Mytilus edulis: one gene and its partner. The protein of the gene in region 1 purifies or fractionates together with the protein of each later gene. This does not show direct contact. Links are inferred from orthologs where the notes say so. Each region holds a gene or a part of one and is shown in the gene's direction. Other genes may lie near its edges.

Evidence for each region. Proteins that work in one complex are often made in the same cells at the same time.
Region 2: the proteins of histone-lysine N-methyltransferase 2C-like (region 1) and PAX-interacting protein 1-like purify together in Homo sapiens (affinity purification with mass spectrometry; 4 studies listed by BioGRID and IntAct, with this or other methods). This does not show direct contact. The link is inferred for Mytilus edulis from reciprocal best matches to the Homo sapiens genes KMT2C and PAXIP1.

What each region holds. Positions count from the first base shown.
Region 1 is NC_092345.1:42,272,412-42,279,715, reverse strand, and holds the start of histone-lysine N-methyltransferase 2C-like, read left to right. Parts: upstream 1-4,291; 5' UTR 4,292-4,675; intron 4,676-7,304. UniProt on the Homo sapiens protein: Histone methyltransferase that catalyzes methyl group transfer from S-adenosyl-L-methionine to the epsilon-amino group of 'Lys-4' of histone H3 (H3K4).
Region 2 is NC_092350.1:66,545,772-66,553,236, forward strand, and holds the start of PAX-interacting protein 1-like, read left to right. Parts: upstream 1-4,458; 5' UTR 4,459-4,547; coding exon 4,548-4,652; intron 4,653-7,465. Other genes in the region: DDB1- and CUL4-associated factor 7, read right to left, coding at 162-326.

The sequences.
Region 1 (7,304 bases):
ACACATGCAAATGCTTTATATTTATTTATATTTAATTATATTTATTTGTATTTAATTATATTTTCATCACTTGGCGTCTATCATCATCATTGGCTTGGCAGTGTGCCTTATTATCATCAGCAGAACTTAGGGATACTTAACAGGGTTGTCTTTTTTAAAGCTTTATTGTCCAAACTTTAAAGGTGCTGGATAGCTCCATATTTGTATGAAGATGCCAAATGGTCTTTTTATTTGACTATTTACCCCATTTTCGTCGAGCCTGCAACTTTTGTTGCAGAAAGCTCGACATAGGGATAGTGATCCGGCGGCGGCGGCGTTAGCTAACTTCTTAAAAGCTTTATATTTTAGAAGGTGGAAGACCTGGATGCTTCATACTTTGTATATAGATGCCTCATGTTACGAAGTTTCCGTCAGTCACATGTCCAATGTCCTTGACCTCATTTTCATGGTTCAGTGACCACTTGAAAAAAAAGGTCAATTTTTTTGTAATGTTGAATTCTCTCTTATTATAAGTAATAGGATAACTATATTTGATATGTGCGTACCTTGCAAGGTCCTCATGTCTGTCAGACAGTTTTCACTTGACCTTGACCTCATTTCATGGATCAGTGAACAAGGTTAAGTCCATATCTCAGATACTATAAGCAATAGGGCTAGTATATTCAGTGTATGGAAGGACTGTAAGGTGTACATGTCCAACTGGCAGGTGTCATCTGACCTTGACCTCATTTTCATGGTTCAGTGGTTATAGTTAAATTTTTGTGTTTTGGTCTGTTTTTCTCATACTATATGCAATAGGTCTACTATATTTGTTGTATGGAACGATTGTAAGGTGTACATGTCTAGCGGGCAGATGTCATGTGACCTTGACCTTATTTTCATGGTTCAGTGGTCAAAGTTAAGTTTTTGAGTTTTGGTCTTTTTATCTAATACTATATGCCATAGGTCAACTATATTTGGTGTATGGAAATATTTTATAACCTTTATGTCAGTCGCACAGGTTTTATTTGACCGTGACCTCATTTTCACGGTTCATTGCACAGTGTTAAGTTTTTGTGTTTTGGTCTATTTTTCTTAAACTATAAGTAATAGGTCAACTATATATGTTGTATAGAAGCATTGTTAGCTGTACATGTCTGCCTGGCATGGTTCATCTGACCTTGACCTCATTTTCAAGGTTCATTGGTCTATGTTTAGTTATCTTGGTTAATGTTAAGTTTATGTGACAGTTGTTATAAAGCTTAGCTTTATACTAAGGACTATCAACATAATATCAATGATTAGTATAGAAGGCGAGACATTTCAGCGTGTGCACTCTTGTTATGTGTAATATGGACAACTATATTTGGTACAAATGTATATGGATTCATTGCTTGGTATACATATAAAAAAGAAGTGGTGTGATTCCTAATGAGACAACTCTTCACAAGAGATCAAATGACACAGACATTTACAACTAAAGAGTCTTTTATACAATAACATCAGTGTGTTCGCCTCAAGTTGGAACTCTGGCATGTTAAAACCTAAACGACTCAAAAATTGGTATTTGCTGCTGCTCTTCTTGTGGATTGCACAAAGCAGGGTTAATATTCATGTACCTGTCCTGAATATGCATTTAATTGCCACAGGACTTTTAACAGCTGTCCATCATTACCATCGCCTAGCCTTACAAAAGTCATGATTCAGTGATTAATGTTCAGTTTTGGGATTTATGTATTTGTTTCTCTGAAACTAAGTAATTCATTATGTTTATTCAATGAATAGAATAATTGTAAGGTTTACACGTCTGTCTAACAAGGTTCATCTGACCTTGACCTTATTTTCATGGATATTTTAGTCCATAGTTTTTTTTTTTGTTGAGCCTGCGACTTTTGTCACAGAAAGCTCGACATAGGGATAGTGATCCGGTGGCGGGAGCGGTGTTAGCTAACTTCTTAAAAGCTTTATATTTTTGTCGAGCCTTCGACTTTAGTCGAAAAAGCGAGACTAAGCGATCCTACATTCCGTCGTCGTCGGCGTCGTCGTCGGCGGCGTCCACAAATATTCACTCTGTGGTTAAAGTTTTTGAAATTTTAATAACTTTCTTAAACTATACTGAATTTCTACCAAACTTGGACAGAAGCTTGTTTATGATCATAAGAAAGTATCCAGAAGTAAATTTTGTAAAAATAAAATTCCATTTTTTCCGTATTTTACTTATAAATGGACTTAGTTTTTCTGCGAGGAAACATTACATTCACTCTGTGGTTAAAGTTTTTAAAATTTTAATAACTTTCATAAACTATCCTTGATTTATACCAAACTTGGACAGAAGCTTGTTTATGATCAAAAGATAGTATCAAGAAGAAAATTTTGTAAAAATAAATTTCCGCTTTTCCGTATTTTACTTATAAATGGACTTATTTTTTTGGCCAGAAACAAAACATTCACTCTGTGGTTTAAGTTTTTAAAATTTTTATAATGTTCTTAAACTATCCTGGATTTCTACCAAACTTAGACATAAGCTTGTTTCTGATCATAAGATATTATTCAGAAGTAAATTTTGTGAAAAAAAAAATCACTTTTTCCGTATTTCACTTATAAATGGACTTAGTTTTTCTTCCAGTTAACATTGCATACAGTCTGCAGTTAAAGTTTATAAAACATTTATTAGATTCATAAACTATCCTGGATTTTTTACCAAACTTGGAAGCTTCTTTCAATCAAACGACAGTATCGAGAGGGAAATTTTTATTGATGTTTTTCCTCATTTTTGTTGAGTCTGCAATTAACAGCAAAAGTAGGCGAGACATTGGGTTCCGTGGAACCCTTACGAATTTTAGAAGGTTGAAGACCTGGATGCTTCATACTTTGTTACATAGATGCCTCATGTTACGAAGTTTCTGTCAGTCACATGTCCAATGTCCTTGACTTCATTTTTCATGGTTCAGTGACTACTTGAAAAAAAAGTTAAGATTTTTTGTAATGTTAAATTCTCTCTTATTGTTAGTAATAGGATAACTATATTTGGTATGTGCCTACTTTGCAAGGTCCTCATGCCCGTCAGACAGTTTTCACTTGACCTCGACCTCATTTCATGGATCAGTGAACAAGGTTAAGTTTTGGTGGTCAAGTCCATTTCTTAGATATTATAAGCAATATATAGGTCTTGTATATTCGGTATATGGAAGGACTATATAAGGTTTACATGTCCAACTAGCAGGTGTCATCTGACCTTGACCTCATTTTCATGGTTCAGTGGTTATAGTTAAGTTTTTGTGTTTTGGTCTGTTTTACTTTAAACTGAGTAAGTTATTTATTTTAATTGTTGGCAATAGATAGGTGCGGCCTAAGAATTGCAACATTTGTGTACCTAGTCAAATAGTTCTAGAGTTTTCATTACACGCTGTTGTACATGTTAAATGTAGCTACAGGTATAAATGTTTTTTAATTTAATTATTGGCAATAGATAATTGGACATGTTGCCACATCGGTGTTCTTGAGGTTAGCTGTATCAGAGACATATAATAAAAGTCAGACAAATATTGGTCAGACGAAGAGATATATTATTTTGACTACAGAGCAGAAATGTCCGGAAGTCACGATCAAAACAGTATTAGAAAAACATTAAATCAATTGAGTCTGGTGAAGAGGAACCTTGAGGGATCCTGTACTGGAAATCAACTATTAGTAACTATAATAGTAATATAATACATTGTATTATATATGTCTCTGGTGAAATTAACATTTTTTCTAATGTTTGTGTAATTATACTTAAATAAAACATTCCGGTCGTCTTTTATTCCATAAGGCAGCAACCAATTTGATTTTCAGGGGGGGGGAATGGGTTTTTTTTCTGTACAAACTTTTTTTTTTCTGTGCAAACTTTTTTTTTTCGCCTATGGCGAAAAACAATCTATTTTTTTCGCGACAAGTCTAAAACAATTTTATTCTTTCAATTTTAGCATTACATATAGTGGCAGCTGAGGGTGAAACAAACAATTTTTTTTTCTCAGAATCAAAAACAAATTATTTTTTTCTCCAAAAACTGGAAACAAACTTTTTTTCCAAAAAAAAACCATACCCCCCCCCCCCCCCCCCAGAAAATCAAATGGTTGCTGCCTAATCAAATGATATTATAATTTTAATTAAAAACATAAAATTGATTAGATTTGAGACAAATTAAAAAAACGTTAAATCCCACCTAGGACTAAAGTAGGATTATGCCAAACAAAGCCCCAAAATCTCACTCCAATACAAATATTTTTTTATCCAATAGTTTTTTATAATTTATTATTTTTACAGGAAAAGTACATTTTAAAGGGAAGTAATACTGTTACCGAAGCTCTCCGTTATATTTTCGGCCATATTTTCATACGCTAATATCGCCCTTTCACATTTTGACCTTTTCGATAAAGATGTAAATGTGTGAAGTTTCATCCAGAAACGAATTCTCTCACGTTTATTTTGTTTAGAACTATCTATTTTTATGGTTAAAGTATTAAAAACAAACAAAAAATCGAAACTTTCTAAAACCGGAAGTAGGAACTATTTTTGTTTAACTATGAAAATGGATGCCAAAATGTATCAACAAAAGCCGTGAAAAGAAGCGATTGGATGTGCGGGTTTCTATCTTCAACGTAAATGACGCATTTACACTGAAGAAACATAATTTTGCAGGCACAATAACTTGTAGGTAATGCACCAAATTTTACATAAATAAAAGACTGGGCAAATCAATAAGTCCAGTACCGAACTGGTGCGAAGACGTTATTTAAAACTTAAAAATCCAATTTATTTCAGTTCTTGAAAAAATATGACTTGTTTGGCCACAGAAAGGCAGATCTCAGATGAAAGCTGTGCACCCCTTTTTAAGAAAAAACACTATATATATATATATTTATATATACAGGGTTCACATAATGACATTCATAATGCCATTAATGGTTTTTTATACACATACTGACGGTGTGAGGGGCAAGTTTGTTTTCCCTGGGATACCAACTATTGCACGAGGCCAAGCCAAGAGCAATATTTGGTATGCGAACGGACAACAAACTTGCTATTACCTGCACAACCAGTCATTAGGTGTTTTATTATACTGAACAACAGTAATTAAGTGTTTTTATATACCAAATTAACTAATTTTCTAAAAGTGTACATACATCATCTGATAGAAAAGAAAAAAATGTCGCATACCTTGACATGCACAAGATGAACTATATGTTGGTTTTTTTTTTATAGTTCTTCTTTTATTGGTAAATATTTCATTAATTGCAATCAAGACTAGAAATACTTGTGTTTAATTTTCCGTGCATGTGATAAATTTAAGCTAATTTAAAGTACACCAAACGCAAATCCACTTTTAGTATTACTCAATGCGACAACAGGCCTCGACAATATCGATTGTCCGGTACCAGAAGTAAAAAAGGTCGGACAAGTTAAAGCTATACCAAGCTTGCCCGATGGGACAAGTAGAATCATTCTGCAGAAAATAAATTTTAATCCAAATTTGATGAACAAAGTATAATTATTAACAAAAAAACAAGAAAAGAAGATTTGTTTGACATCTTTCCTTTTTAAACTGAAACTAACTTTTTATTTTTCAAGACCCCTCAGACTTGCAATCGATAATTTAAAACTGGTTCTTTGTTTTTTACCTGTTAAAAGTACTTGACACACTTTTCTCGGAAACCAGTCTTGACATCCCATTCAACCATGTGCTTTTTAGATAAGGTAACTTTAAAAGACAGTTCGTCACCAGCTCGGAAATGATTCGGCTCCAAGTTTAATAGACAGTTGGGCACTGTAGGAGACATATTTCATAGACATGATTAATAGACAGTTTGGCAAGGCAGTAGACATTTCTGGACTTAGACAAATCAGAACCTCTTTTCCTACCTTATTTTGTTGCTTTATAATAACTAATACCAATGTCCATACCATATTTTTTAAATAAAAATGAGGAAATTTATTGTTTACCATAAAAATCATCAAATCATGTTTGATTTTTATGTAGAAAAAATAATACTTACAATGCAGTGACCCATAGTTGTTAATTTCTGTGTCATTTGGTCTTTTGTCTCATTGACAATCATACCTCAAATTCTTTTTATTGATTGCATTTGAATAAACTTTTTTCAACTTTTAAAGAAATAGGATAAAAATCAAATGAGTGTACATTTAGAGGCCAATCAGATGGTGCCTCATGTGCAAAGTATGATGAGACTTTAGCATTGATAAAAACTGAAACCTAAGTCCTGTGACACAACTAAATTCAGTTGTTCATGGCTCATGTCTTTTAAAAGTATTTCAAAGGATATAAATCAAATTCTGTTCAATTTTTTTTTTATTCATTTTGTTCCTTGAATCAACTTGAAATGCAAAAAAGGTTATTATAAAGATTTTTTTTGGACAAGTTACAATTTCATTCGGACAAGTAAGTTTTGGTTTGTACTTGTCCTACTGGACAAGTTGGAAAAAAAAGTTTTTGTAGAGGCCTGGACAACCGAACCCATATTAAGAACTATAAAAAATGCACGCGAAGATTTTCTCTCTTTTATAATTGCTTCTTGTAAGTGAAATTACAATCGACACAAACAGATTATACCGTTAACAATACTAGAGTTTGACTTTGCCAAGCAAAATAGTCAATGACATCATTATTGTCCAATGAAAAATAAGCATGAAAAGTACAGGAAAGATGATTTATATGAAACTATTAACTGGGTAATAGTCTTTGAAACTATTGACTTGCAAATAGTCTGTGGAATGAAATAGCACAACTATTTCATTATTTTTTATTTAGAAAAAAATATACTGAGGTATAATAATAGATTATATTTGAAGCTGGATGTTGAACTTACAAATGTAAAAGTTAATTATCAAAAGTTTTGGTCTATACAAACCTGCCAACTGTCACTATTTGCGAGGGATTTCCCCCATGGAGTCTCCCAAATTGAAATTTTGAATGAGCAATTTTGTGCACAATTTTTAACAAAACAATTAATTTTACAATGACATGAGGCTTACATTAGTATGAAGAAGCCAAAAAACAACATTAAAATGTATCTAAAGGCCCCCTTGAAGGTTTTTTAGGACTATGACGGCCATCTTGCACGCAAAACCCATTTTGGCATTTTGAAAAGTTGGCAGGTATTTCTACATCATATTTCTGTCATAATAGTAAGAAAGGTGCTTCCATTGAACAACTTTTTCCTTCTTAATATTTGCAAGATAGTAAACTAAAGCAAATTTTAATTTAAACACATAATAGATAATAAACATTAAAAAAAAAATGTGCACATACTACAAACTTATAAATG
Region 2 (7,465 bases), on another chromosome or scaffold:
CTTTGAAACAAAGAAAATAAACAAAATTAAACTGCTCTCTTAGTCAAATACATTTTGCTAAACATTTTGAATCCTAAGTAAAAACATTAGACATCTATATTGTCTATACATTTGTTAAAAAAAAAGTACACAATATTTTTCTTCTTTTTAAATTCACTTACTTTGTTGTTATATTCCTCCACAAAACTACCAAGAGCTAAGCGAAATCTTTTATCAGGTCTTATGCTCCAGTTCATACTATATACTGTCCATGGTGCATCATACTTATAAATCTCTTTCCTCTTTCCCGGGGGTGGAGCAGGAGGAGCTCCTGGCAAGGCACACATTTTTATTGCTGAATAGAGAATTAGAAAATTAATTATACCGTCAGACTTCCATAAATGTACATGTACATGTACATTGTATGTGTAGTCATGGTAGTGGCACAATTATACAATATATACACAGAAAAAAAAAAGAAAACCCATTGTCATTTTATGTCATGAAAGTATCCTTTTCTTCACCATTCTTTTATCCAATTGGTTGGTCAGGGACCTCCATAACCTGTTTTTAAGGAGGTAGACCTTGGATCAGGGAGATAACTCTTTAAATCAGTTATGCGTTTGTAAAATTCAGGTTTCGCCAATGAATTTGAAGCATTTACCTGAAACAGATTGGAAATAATCTATGTATCCAAGAAGCTTAAACATATTTATGAAAATGGCTGACACAAACGTACTGATGATTTTAAGAGTTATCTCCCTTAACCTAGGTCTACCTCCTTAAGATGGCACACAACATTTTTTTATCCCACCTTGTCATTAGTTATTTACCATTTGATTGATTTAACATTATCACATCATACATGTCGTATGACCCCCTATTGTCACTATTTGCTGGGGATTTCCCCCATTGAGGCTCCCAAATGGAAATGTTGGAAGAGCAATTTTGTCCACAATCTTAAACAAAACAATTTTTAACAATTACTTTTATAATGGCTATGGGCTTTAAAAATCAAAGAGAATCATTATTATGAACAGTTTTAAAATATTCCAAATCAAGCCATTAACTTTTAAAATCTTCCCTGTACATTGTATTTTCATGAATTTCGAGAATTTATAAGGGGATGAACAGTAAAAAAATCAATAAAAAAAAAGTAAAAAAAAAAGGGAATTTTCATTGTACTTATGAACTCAAAATCGTTATTTTTTTTGTATTAACCTTTATAATTCTTGCATCTACTTCCTTTTTTCGTTGCATGAAACTTTGAGTAAAATATTTATCAGTCTAGTATAATATCATGAATATAGGATGGAATGCAATACCAATTTCATTTTAAATAATTCAACGATATGAAAAAACATTACCTGATGATAGGGTTTCTTTGCAGGGGTGTGGAAATATTTATTGTGAGCACTTGTCCCTGGGCAAGTAAAACTAAAAATTTTACTTGTCCGGAAAACAATTTATTTGCCCTGATGATCTTAATAAATATTGAAGTATTTCTTGTTACCTAATATATGCTTCTTACTTAGCATGCTTAGCACTATTGTGCATCACAAACAAATGAAATCCATTTGTTTATATGTGTAAACAAGAATGTGTCCTCAGTACACGAATGCCCCACTCGCACTATCATTTTCTATGTTCAGTGGACCTTGAAATTGGGGTAAAATCTCTAATTTGGCATTAAAATTAGAAAGATCATATCATAGGGAACATGTGTACTAAGTTTGAAGTCGATTGGACTTCAACTTCATCAAAAACTACCTCGACCAAAAACTTTAACCTGAAGCAGGATAGACGGACGGACGAACGGACAGACGGACGGATGAACAGACGGACACACGCACAGACCAGAAAACATAATGCCCCTCTACTATCGTAGGTGGGGCATAAAAATTAGGAAAGTAGAAAATGGGTTAACAGCAAGGGGACAGACACCTAACAGCAAACCAACTAATGAAATGACATGTAAAGGACAATTTTGCAGCAGTTTGGGAATAAAAATTGTAGCCAGTAGGTACACAATATACTAAATTTGAGGACAGTGATTGAAGAAATGTAAACTAAATAATAGATCAACTATTGATTTTGTGGTGTTTCTCTCAACTGACACGCTTGTTTTTTTCTTGATTATTTATTATTGTCTTGATGTACAATTAAAGCGTCCCTTCTATTTACCAGTTTGACTACAAATAATGTTGACCTTTCATCTATAAATAAGACAAAAACTGAATTTATTTTCCGAATTTCCATAGATAGCCAGGGGCAATCTGATATCCACGAAGTCTGAAATTCTCGCTTCCTTTTTTTTTCCTCCGTTTGCATTTAAGTTTTTCTACTCGACTCATGATTCTATTTGTCTTGCTTGCCCAGCTTTTTATTAAGTATTTGTCAATCTGAATCTCGATACAAAATTTAAAGAAATATCACTTCTGGTAAATGATGGATCAAACTTAATCGACGATCCCGGGTCAATGGACAAAGCCAATGCAATGTTATGCGACTCGGGTTCGCATACTTATTTTTACTTATTTTTACTTATTTTGGTAATCGATCTATTTCCGGTATCATGTAATATTTATCGTCATGAACATTGATGTTTTTACTTGCTGATTATTGGTTTCTTTTACATAAATTAAACATCTTTATACGTTTTGAAATTAATTCTATGTCTTTTTTTTGTTATTTGACTTTTGTCTTTTTTTACTTGTCCACGGGCAACCAAGACAAAAATAATTACTTGTCCAGTTGTTCAAATGTACGAGTCGGGCGAGTCAGGCATAGCGTTTCCACACCCCTGCTTTGTTTACATTGCATATGACGTCATTACTGAAATAAACGTCACAACTAAAATCCCTTACAACATTGTACAAATGAACAAAAATCAAACGTTACAGTATTTCCGTTTTGAAATAAAATATGTTTGAAAAAAAAAAAAAAAAATCATTCAGACTTCGTCTCCCATACCTGCCAACTTTTGAAAATGGCCATGGGGGTTTTTGTGCGCGGCACCATTTTTGAGGGTAGAATTTTTCGCGGCATTTTTTCGTGTGATGATTTGGCTCCTAAAAGTGTCTGACATACTTCTTTTTTTTTTGGGGGGGGGGGGGGGGGGATAGTTGAAGATGCTATTATAACCTATCTTTTTTTAAATTGTTTGATTGTTGTATTCTTTTTGTTGAGATAAACACCAGTAAGATGACTTTATGTTTGTCTGATACATTGTCAAGAAATAAAAAAAAAAGTAATAATTTTAATAATTTAATAACAAAAAAAACAACAATATATGAGGGTCTGGAAATGGGGGGTGGGGGGGGGGAGTGTCTGTTGTTCTGTAAACATTTAGTTTTCACCCCTTTTTTCTCTAATCTTCAAAAAATTAACCTCTTTCTTTTCTAATCTTCAAAAAAATTTGACCACGTATTTCTCCAATTTTCATTTTTTTTTGCCCGTTATTCCCTTATCTTCATTTTTTAAGGGCATTATATTCTTTAATCATTTAACCCCATCCAAACCCTCATATATTATATAGATCAATATCACAAGCAGTACTAGAATGTTTGAAGACATCATTAAGGCCACCGTAGTCAACTTTAAAGTCTCTGTTGCAAACTTTACAAAAGGCATGTGACAATCCTAACGTTGATTTAGACAACCAGCCCCTGTACTTGACATCATTCTCCCATTTCTCTTAGTATTTGCACGAAGCAACACGCTTTTTTTTCTTAGGCGGTGACAGAACTATTTTGCAAGTGATAACTCGCCCATCATGATTCCAATTTTTATAAATTTAACACCCAAGCTAAAAAAAACAACTCAAAATTTCGATTCTTTGATTGTTTACTATGCCGACATTAATCAACTGGTGAATGTGTGATCACTTAATTTTGAACAATGATAGTTACCACGAGTACATTGAAAATTCCTGACTGTAAAATATAACTTTTTTTATTATTGTAACATTTTGATGTCACCATAGCCAGTGCCAATTAATTAAAGTAAAGGTTAATTTGTAAAAATCACATGCATGTTTTAACAAAGTCTTTTCAAATGTAAACAATGAAACATTCGTAAAAACCAACGTTATTTGATGCAACATAGATATATAATTACCGATGAACTGTTAATCGATGATATATGTAGAACAAAATCAAATTAGAATGTAAAGAAATGATTCATTTTGCCTGATTTATGACATATTTTGATGTTTAAAACACTAGACAGGAAATTTCTTGGTCAATAAAAATAGGATTACGATTATCGTAAATTCCGTTTTGAAGTGTTGATGAATAAATAAATGAAATTTCTTCTGAATTAATTTGATGAATGAACAAACATTGTTTAAAGATTAAATGAATATCTTTTGATAATAAATTTTGATTAAAAATTATTTAATTTACGACAATAATCGTAAATCGATTTTCGATCGACGTTCATGAAATGCTTGTAAATGTAACAATAAATGATCATAGTCATAAGCGTTTAAAAGATATTTGTATGTTTTATTTTGTGCGAGCAAAAACATTCAGCGGGAAATGCCCCAAATAAATTAATGAACGAAAATGACAGAATTAGAAGGATCAGAATCCATGGACAAGCCCGTAAACGTACCTGAGGCTCTATTCAAGGACGTCAAATACTATGTCGTTGGCGATATTGCAAAAGAGGTCCAAAATTATTCAATATTTACTAAAATTATCGCTTTCGGGTCGATCCGGCCCCACGTCGATCCGGCCCAAGTCGATCCGTCCCACGTCGATCCGGCCCCACGTCGATCCGGCCCATATGTAAAGTCGATCCGGCCCCAATAAAAAAAATATTTCTAAGGAATAAAAATAAATATATATTAATTGTAATTCATAAATGTTTATTATTATTATTATAATGTTAAAGGTGTACGGTAAACAAATTAAAAAAGGCCTTTGAAAAATATTTTCCTTAGATGAGTATAAAACAACTAGGTTGATTATGTCTTTATTACAAGTTTTCAAGATTATTGGCTATAATTATATTAAAACATATATAAAAGAATTTAGACATCAACATTAATCAGCAGTAATTAGCATTTTCTTATAATTGTGATCCTAACAAGTTTCATCTTGTGTAACATGTAATAACAAATAGTTACATACATGAACGGTACAAGCCGATCCCCAAGCTGATACATATTAACTTTGTTTTTCTTAAGTTCATAAATTTTTTCAAATTAGGAAATGTTGTTTGATTTGCCGAATCGTTTCTATAAAAGAGTGCTGATATTATATTACGGAACATTAATAAATCAGCATTGGATTGAATTAAGTGATTACGAGTGGCATTACCTTAGTTCACAATCATCAGACAACTGTTGAATAAACAAACCAATTATAGACTAATGATTCGATTAAATATTAAAGTCATAATGATGCGTTAAATTTTATAGGTCCATTGGACGGAAAATATTTATTTAGCTATTCTGTGTGTGAACTGAATAAAAAAAAATCGCCATGAAATTCAAAGTAAAAGTTATCATGGAAAATAACTTCATAATTTAAAAATGTAGAAACTGCGATACAAACGGACACAATAACACTCATTTTCGTATCGATTTAAAATAGTTCTTTAACTGGTACTCCAATACTTCACTGACCTGTTGTCATCCATCATCGATCGGACACATTTTTCAAATTCCATCTATACTGTTAAAATTTGTGACAAATTCCTCCAAAAACAATATAGTTAATTCATATTTTATCATGGGGCCGGACCGACTTGGGGACGGATCGACGTGGGCCGGATCGACTTGGGCCGGATCGACTTTGGGCCGGATTGACTTGGGGCCGGATCGGTTTGGGGCCGGAACGACCGGATACCAAATTATCTAGTACCACAGGGGCTTGTTTAGTGGGTCAGACGAGGTTTTACTGTCAATGGCGATCGCTATCCTATATAAAATTGGTCAGACGAGGTAACCTCGTCTGACCCACTAAACAAGCCCCTGTGCTAGTACTGTGATGTCTGATGAATTTCTTCTACTTTAGTCACACCATCTTCCTCCACCAATAAGGCTAAAAATATATGTTTGTTTACAGTAAGAAGTTCAACCATTTGTTTAGCACCAACCCTAAATCATCCTGTTGTAAAGTAAAAGATTAAGTTGAACTCATGTCATGAATTTCTATTTAGTTAAGTTAGAGTTCTCAAAATAATGGCTAATACGAATGGCCAATTAACACCATAAATACCAGAATAACACTTGAAATTTTAATTTTAGCACATATGGGTGAATAAGAGGGGCATAAAGGGAGGGTATCTGCATGGAAGAATGCAGATACCCTCCCTTTATGCCCCAGATTATCGGAATTCCAATGGGGACTAACTGTGCACCACTTATTGCGGACCTGTTTTTGTATTGTTATGAGTTACAATTTATGACAAAAATAAGCAAAGACCCATCGAAATAACATCTGATAAATAATGACCACTGCCCTTTTCTCGATCTTGATATCTATATCACTAATGGAAAGCTGAATACTAAAATTTATGATAAAAGGGATGATTTTTCATTTCCTATTGTTAATTATCCGTTTTTAGATGGTGACGTTCCCTTGTCACCATCTTACGGTGTTTATATATCTCAACTTGTACGATTCGCTCGTGTATGTAACAATGTTTTAGATTTTAACGAGAGAAATTTATGTATTACTGAAAAATTATTACACCAGGGTTTTCGATATCACAAACTAGTCAAAACATTTACTAAATTTTATCATCGGTATAAAGACATCATTCGTAAATATAGCTCAACATGCAGACTTCTAATACGTTCAGGTATTTCACATCCAATTTTTTATGGTAATATTCTTTATAAAGCACAAAGGTGTCAGTATTCACCTCAGAAACTTACAAAACCTTTGAATAGACTTATTAAGAAGGGATATAATTACGATACTGTTGTCAAGTCATTAAAGATTGCATATTTTGGCGTTAATATTGAGTCACTGATAAGGTCTTTGCATCGGAACTAAACACATTATTTTTTTAAAAACAGTTGTTGGCATGACACGGGTTATGTTCTTCTCATATATGTTATGATGGTATGATACTAAACCCCTAACGGGAAGGATTGTGCCTGATGTTCATATGATGAAATCATAATCTTTCAGTCAGTTTAATTGAAGTCTGGAGCTGGCATGTCAGTTAACTGCTAGTAGTCTGTTGTTATTTATGTATTTTTGTCATTTTGTTTATTTTCTTTGGTTACATCTTCTGACATCAGACTCGGATTTCTCTTGAACTGAATTTTAATGTGCGTATTGTTATGCGTTTACTTTACCACATTGGTTAGAGGTATAGGGGGAGGGTTGAGATCTCACAAACATGTTTAACCCCGCCGCATTTTTGCACCTGTCCCAAGTCAGGAGCCTCTGGCCTTTGTTAGTCTTGTATTATTTTAATTTTAGTTTCTTGTGTACAATTTGGAAATTAGTATGGCGTTCAT